Coturnix japonica: one gene and its partner. The protein of the gene in region 1 binds, or shares a complex with, the protein of each later gene. Links are inferred from orthologs where the notes say so. Each region holds a gene or a part of one and is shown in the gene's direction. Other genes may lie near its edges. The genes, in order: DIS3L and EXOSC10.

Evidence for each region.
Region 2: DIS3L (region 1) and EXOSC10 share a complex: the UniProt entries of both Homo sapiens proteins name them as parts of the RNA exosome complex. The link is inferred for Coturnix japonica from reciprocal best matches to the Homo sapiens genes DIS3L and EXOSC10.

What each region holds. Positions count from the first base shown.
Region 1 is NC_029525.1:16,731,781-16,735,085, forward strand, and holds the end of DIS3L (DIS3-like exonuclease 1), read left to right. Parts: intron 1-82; coding exon 83-616; intron 617-708; coding exon 709-863; intron 864-968; coding exon 969-1,144; intron 1,145-1,377; coding exon 1,378-1,523; intron 1,524-1,788; coding exon 1,789-1,963; intron 1,964-2,038; coding exon 2,039-2,359; 3' UTR 2,360-2,519; downstream 2,520-3,305. UniProt on the Homo sapiens protein: Catalytic component of the RNA exosome complex which has 3'->5' exoribonuclease activity and participates in a multitude of cellular RNA processing and degradation events.
Region 2 is NC_029536.1:3,559,644-3,563,986, reverse strand, and holds the start of EXOSC10 (exosome component 10), read left to right. Parts: upstream 1-1,386; 5' UTR 1,387-1,411; coding exon 1,412-1,573; intron 1,574-2,299; coding exon 2,300-2,436; intron 2,437-3,134; coding exon 3,135-3,258; intron 3,259-3,432; coding exon 3,433-3,537; intron 3,538-3,724; coding exon 3,725-3,890; intron 3,891-4,343. Other genes in the region: serine/threonine-protein kinase mTOR, read left to right, coding at 442-457. UniProt on the Homo sapiens protein: Catalytic component of the RNA exosome complex which has 3'->5' exoribonuclease activity and participates in a multitude of cellular RNA processing and degradation events.

The sequences.
Region 1 (3,305 bases):
CTGTAAGTTTGCAACAGTTGGATGTGCTCGAAATGTTGAGTCAACCAGAACTGCTTAAAGAATTGTGGGTTTTATTTTTAAGGTACGCTGTCAGCGTCTTGTGGGAACTAGAAAGAGAATCGTACAAGATACTGAAAGTCTGCTACAACAAAAGCATCATTCGGTCTGCATACAAGCTAGTCTACGAAGTAGCACAGGGGTTATTAGATGGGGACACAAGTGTTGTTGATGAGATCCTGGAACTGAAAGACTTGGATGGAAAAACAAGAGAGAAGAAATTGTCTGAGCTGGTTTGGGCGATATCAAAACTCACCGATATAGCACGACACATTCGAGCTGAGCGGGACAGCTGCGGTGCTCTGGAACTAGAAGGGGTAGAAGTCCGAGTGCAACTGGATGATAAAAAAAACATTCATGATCTCATCCCCAAGCAGCCCCTGGAAGTACACGAGACTGTAGCAGAATGTATGATCCTTGCAAACCACTGGGTGGCAAAAAAGATTTCAGAAAGCTTTCCTCATCAAGCTTTGTTACGTCAACACCCTCCACCACGGCAGGAATTTTTTACTGACCTTCAAGAATGTGCCAGCGCCAAAGGTTTCTCAATAGACACACGGTATCTTTTACTGCTTCTCTTAAGCACTTTAACACACTTTAACTGTGATCAGGGTAACATAAATCTGAATAAAATTAACACTTTTTTGACAGGTCTAACAAAGCATTGGCTGAGTCCCTGGATAAAGCGGAAGATCCATTGGATCCAATTGTAAATAAGCTGTTGCGATCTATGGCCACTCAAGCAATGTCAAATGCATTGTACTTCTCAACTGGCTCTTGTTCTGAGGAAGAGTTTCATCATTATGGTATCCTGACACTTTCATTTGTTATAAAATTCCCCTTATTCCTGAACTGCTGTGGGGCAGCTGAATGCTCTGATTGCTTTTCATCGCTTCCTTTTTTATTTGTAGGACTCGCTTTAGATAAGTACACTCATTTTACTTCTCCTATCAGAAGATACGCTGATATAGTTGTCCACAGACTCTTGATGGCAGCAACTCTGAAGGAAACTAAGGATGTTAAGGAGAAATTATTCAGTAACAAGGATCTTGAGGAATTGTGCAAACACATTAACAACAGGAACAGGGTAAGGTGGTCACTGTGTGCGTCTGTGTTTGCATGTTACCCAGGGAAAGAGGATACCGCTCTGCTGTGACTTTTGGGTACTACAGCATTGCAACACTCCTTCTAGATACAATTTGTTTTCAGCAGGTTAGGGAATAAGTAATGGAAAAAATATATATAATATCAAAGCCATACAGGCTTCTGAGAATATTTACCTGTCCTTCTGTCTTCTCTTTTTGTGGGGGGTGCCTGCAGGCAGCCCAGCATGCTCAGAAACAGTCTACTGAACTCTTCCAATGCATGTACTTCAAAGATAAAAGCCCAGAAACAGATGAGCGCTGCGTAGCAGATGGAGTTATCTACTCGATCCGAACAAATGGTGTGCTTGTTTTCGTGCCAAGGTAAGTTGATTTGAGCTTGGACTGAGACTAAAAATCAGACATTTGCTTCTGAAATGCTGCGAGGTCACCTCTGGTCCTTGAGAAATGAAGCACTGACTGATGACTGCATTTTAGATTTTCTGTAAGTCATGAACATTGTTTTTTCCATGTTTTAATTCTGAAAAGGAGACGCTATGGAGAAAGGATTGCTCAAATTAGCAAGGTAACCGAGAAGGTTTCTGAAGGATTTCTATGCTCATGCCTACACACCTGCTTTTTTTTGTAGATATGGAATCAAAGGTGCTGCTTACATGAAAAACAAGGAAGGCTTAGTCCTGTCTTGTCAAGGTGAGGGAAGCTGTGAGTGGAAGCCTGGATCACTTCAGCGGTTTCAGAATAGAATTACTTCCACTACAACCACTGGAGAGTCGGTTACATTAAGCCTCTTTGATCACATCACAGTGAGTACTTAATTTGAAGAAAGTAAAAGGAAATAGCATAGTCAGCAATAAAATGATTTTTAAATTGCTTTTAAGGTGAAGATACTCGTGCAGACTTCCCGCTGCCACGCTGACACAATCAAGCTTGAAATAATCAAGAACGCCCCATTCCAGACTTCAGCCACAGAAATTTCCAAGAAGAATTTTGGCGTGGTGAAATCTGACTTAGTCAGAGCAGTCAGTCAGTCTGCGGAAGCGCTGAGCGCCCAGGAAAAAGCAAGAAGTGCAGTAATTGAAGAACAGTGTCCGGAGTATCAGGAGTACTGCCAGACAAAGGGAGCAAGTTTGTACCAGCTGCTGGAGGAGATCAGGGACTGGGCTCTATTAGATGTCTCAGCTGATGCATGTAGTTGTTGATGCTCTGCTTACAGTTACTTTGTACAATTTGTATATTTTTAAAAATGAAGTCATTTTAATGAGATAAATTGTCTGTTTTAAATAAGATCTCTTTGTAGCTGATCATGAGCATGCGCAACAAAGATTTTTTATGTGATAAATGTTACCTTCCAGACTAAAACCCGTGTTGAGAATCCTTTTGTTTGTCGTTCAATGAAAAAAAGCCTGCTTACCCTTGTTCTCCATACATTACATTCTTAAACCTAAAGTATTGCTTTACCATCATCCTAATTAGTACAACTGGTGGTTCTTTTCCACTCTATTGAGTTTTAACTCATACCTACGTTCACACAAAATGAATTCAGTCACACTAACCCAGAACCTCCCTTATGCACAATTCCCCAGCTGCACAACTGGCATCATATACAACCCACTGACATGAACTTGTTTCACCTGCCTTATGTGCAACGTTGGGCCTCAGGTAGGGCTGAGCAAGTCTGCTCTATGCTGCTGGGTAAGGCATTCTCAGGGCTCTGGCACAGCTGTCATCCTTGAAACTACATTCATTCTACAGAGCAGAAGAGTGCACTGGACTGCTGCAGCTATCGCATAAGAGAGGAAGAAGACAGTACTGTGACAGTACAGAGCTTTAAGCCAGGAAACAGGATCAGATAAAGTGAGACTAATTCAGTCAAAGCCAAAACACAATGTGCGATGACTTGCACAAATTGGGAAGTTGAATTTAAACTGCCTCATGCAAGAATTTGTTTGACTTTTGAAATTTAATAACTTCCATTTCATAAGAAACGCACACAACTACTTGGTGAGTTAAAAAAATATCCAGGATTCCTGTTCAAGTATAACACCATTCTCTATCATGTATCCTGCATCAAAGATGTGCACGCAAACTTAACATCTCAGTCAAATTCAGTTTGACATCAACTGAAGGATGTCAGAGTAGGCCAGG
Region 2 (4,343 bases), on another chromosome or scaffold:
TGTTGCATATGAGCTCGTACATTTTGCAGGCTTATGGCAGAGATCCCTTAGACAGACCGTTGTAAGAATGTAAGTTGTGATAAGGAGTAATGGGAATGTAGAGCATTAAAGCTGCAGTCAACCTGAACACTTAGTGTTGGAAGTAAGGCATATGTTGGTCACTGATGTCAGTTACAGTGAAGATCTCCATATTCTGCAGCAAACATAAATGATTTAGTTGCACATTTGTCATTTGAGAGAGATAACATCAGACTATGCTTAAGGAAACAGTCCTTAGTTTTAAGCATTTAAGCTGTGTGTGGGGGGATCACCTGCCAACTTTTCCTATACTATTTCCTATACTATGTCTTCTAAACGGAGCCTTGGCAGTCTCAGTCCTTCTCAGCACTGCCTTTGTGAAGCTGCACTGAGCATCACCACCCTATTTTTGTTTCCTTTTAGGTGTCCTTTCTGGTAACAGAAGATCCCAAAGTATCCACAGCCTTTTTATTCTGGAGGCTTTTGCGCTCCAAACTTGCTCTTCTACAAACACAAACTGAACGTTGGACTGATATCCAGCCTTTGTCAAATAGTTTGAACTGTAAATGGAAAGAGTTATTGTATATTAACAAGTTGGTTTAAGCCAATTTATAGCTGCTATTGGAAAAAAAACACGAGCTGTCTGGAACACAATAGCTGATTTGGGTTTCCAAGGACAGTGAAGACTGATTGTACTGCAGGTGTCAATGGTTCCACTGGGTCTTTGGGGAACTGGTAAATATAACTATATACGGGTTTGGAATTACTTTGCAAAGTAAATGAATCATTTGCAGATGGATTGCTGCCCTGAATGGAATATTGGAGCAGATGTTAAGAATTTCAGACCTTCATCTGACCATAACCAGGTGCCTCTGTGCAGATCGAGCAGTGCAATGAGACACCGCTGGGGAGCTCTGTGTGCAGATTAAAAGGGGAACGTGATAACTGGCATAGGAGGCAAAAGGGGGAGAGCTGGTCATAACTTGAAATGAAATAATGGTTATAATAATAACATGGGAGTGGAGGAAGTCGTGAATTATGAATAAAAACAATGCACAAAATACAACAGAGTAGCCATGTTTAGATGCCATGTTGTATTTGGATATTTTTGTGCCAATAAATTACAGCAAAACGTGGCACCGTGGGGCTGCGTTCTTGTTTGTTCCTAAGTAGCTCTTAGGAAGAGACAGGGATGCAGGTAACAGGTTGCAGGAGGGGTCGCTTGGGGTGGGTGGGGGTCGCATGCAGCGCGGTCCGCCAGCCGCTAGGGGGCGCTATGTATAAGGCTTGGTACTGTCTACCCGCCCGCATGCGTTGCCCATCTCCCATCTTCCTCTCTCGGCCCTGAAGCTCTCGCGAGAGTTTCCGTGCGTCTGGTGGCTGAGGGGACAAGATGGCCGCCGCCGTGGCTGAGGGGAACGGCTGCGCGGTAGCGGGGAGCAGCGCGGCCCAAGGGGGCAAAGGGGGGCAGGGGGGACCGCCCGTGGAAACGGAAAGAGACGGGAGCACGGCCACGGTGCTGCCGGGATTCGACGACGTGGACGCCTTCGTGAAGGTGCGGGGCGGGGTGAAGCGGGAAGGGGCCGTGCACTACAGCTCCCGCCGGGCCGTGCGGTCACTCGGTGCCGTGATGTGGTTGGCATTGAAATAAAGCCCAGATCTGCGTCTGTGCTGATAAACCTCTCTCTAAACGTAAATCCTGGCACGACAGGCGTAGTGTTGTTATCGCTTTACTCTGTTTAACCTGATGAGATGGTGTGAATGAAACAACTGCCAACTTAGTCAATACCTGAAGGGAACTTACTCCCAGGAGGGGAGTAAACTCTTGGAAAGGGCTGATAATAGCAGGACACGGGGAAATGGTTTTAAGTTAAAAGAGGGAAGATTTAGGTTGGATGTTAGGGGGAAGTTCTTCACTAGGAGAGTGGTTAGGCCCTGGAACAGGCTGCCCAGGGAGGTTGTGGATGCCCCGTCCTTGGAGGTGTTCAAGACCAGGTTGGACGGGGCCCTGGGCAACCTGATCTAGTAAAGGTGTATGTTTGGTGGCCCTGCCAGGCAGGGGGGTTGGAACTACATGATCCTTGAGGTCCCTTCCAACCCGGGTCATTCTGTGATTCTGTGTGTGATTCTGTGATTAGTCGTGTTAAAAAACACCCAAACAAACCAAGGCCTTGCGATGTGTTGGATGTAACCGCACTGTTCGCACACACACAGGGATGGAGGTTTGTCAGCACAGTGTGCAGCAGGGCAGGCAATGCACTAACACGGTGTTCTCACACAGCACGCCCTCGGCACCATGGTGGCCACCACGAAGGCATCCAGCGGGCTGCCCCAGCCTGGCGATGAGTACGACTTCTACCGCAGCTTCCCTGGGTTCAGGGCGTACTGTGCAGCTCAGGGACATCGGCTGCTGCAATGGTAAGGAGACATCACAGCCCCGGCAACTGCCAGGCCCAGACAGGGGATTCTATGGAATCTCCAGGCTGGTTGGTGGTAAAAAGGATGTTTTAGGTCATGTGTCGAATTTTAGCTGAGTTGCCTTTAATGGTGTTGATGGGAACAAACTGCGAGTGGGGACTGTTGTGAAATGCTCTGGGAACAGCCGTTTAGTATCTAAAGGGGTATATAAGAAAAAAGGGGACAGATCTGATAGAACAAGAGGAATGAGTTTCAAACTAAAAGAGGGGAGATTTAGACTGGATATAACAAGGTTTTTTACTGTGAGAGTAATGAGGTGGTGATGCTCCATCTGTGGACACACTCAAAGTCAGGCTGGAAGGGGCTCTGAGCACCTGATGGAGCTGTGGGTGTCCTTGTTCATTGCAAGAAAGTTAGACTTGATGCCTTTAAAGGTCCCTCCCAAACAGTTCTGTGATCTAGAAAGTTGTTTCATAAAGAAATCAGTCCTATTAGTACTAAATAACTCTTAGCACCATGTAGGTGTTTCATACATTTGCTTTTTGTATGTTATTATAAGTATTACATTTGATCTGCTTTCAAACTTCTGCGATGTAGAAAGTTGAGAAGAATTGCATGGTTCAGTGTTCAGTTAATTGTTATTATTGTTGTTATTATTATTGTTTAAATCCATAATAACTGTGCTGTTCTCTTGCAAGCATGAGCAGGGTGATGCAGTACCACGGCTGCCGCAGCCACATGAAAGACCGCAGCAAAGTCACGGAGCTGGAAGATAAGTTTGATATGCTGGTTGACTCCAATGACATCATTCTTGAAAGAGTGGTGAGCAAATCATTCCTTAACATTACTTGTATAAGGTATTCAGGTACCACAAGTGCTTTTTGTTAAAATAATTCTACTGTTAGTGCTTTTGCAGTTATGTTTAATGTTTAGCATAGTACAGTAACTGAGCGGGTGTTTGATTTTCATTTTTGTTGTTTTTTTCCTGGAATTTAGGGTATTTTACTGGATGAAGCAGCAGGAGTGAACAAAAACCAGCAGCCTGTCCTTCCTGCTGGGTTGCAGGTGCCACAGACGATCGTTTCCAGCTGGAACCGCAAGGTGAGGCTGCTGCTCTTTTTCCCAGCACTGGTACTGCAGTTTGCCAGTGGATTTTAGTAGTTAAATGTTCCCTTGGACTTTTTCATATGTCCTCACTCACCTCCTTTTTCTCGCAGTACTGGGGTCAGTGAATGGAAGATGCTCTGGATGTCTGTTAAGTCATGTTGGTTTGCTTTCTTTTTAATAGGCAGGAGAATACCACAAAAGATCTAAGTCTGAAACCTTCCGACTGCTCCATGCCAAGAATATCTCTCGCCCACAGCTTAAGTTTCGAGAAAAGATTGACAATTCCAACACTCCCTTTGTACCTAAGCTTTTTATCAAGCCAAATGCTTTGAAACCATTGGCTGAAGGTAAGTTTTTTTGTTGTTGATGGGTAATCAGTTGAGAGTGTTTGACACAAATCTGTCCTGACAATCCAGAAGAGGAAATATTGACTGTAAAAGCAAGCAGGAGCAGATGTTGACTATTTGGATGAGATTGCTCTGTGACTCCATTGTTTATGTATGTGCAGTGTAAGATTTGGTCAGCATACAACATCTTTTTGTTGGTATACAGTAACTAATCTGTTCCCAACAGATATTCTGCTGCTTCTCTTTGCCACCATTGAATTTCCATGAGAGTCCCCCTGGCAGGAGGAGTTTTGTTGCTTGGTCTGTAAGTCTGCTTGACTTTACAGATACCTTTTCCTAATAAGTTAGAAAAGGAGATACACGATTAGATCTGCCTTTATCAAAGCTGCCAGTGAAACATCTCATCTCAGCAAGGTGTCACATTTCTGCTGCTGATTCACCTCGAGTCTGCAC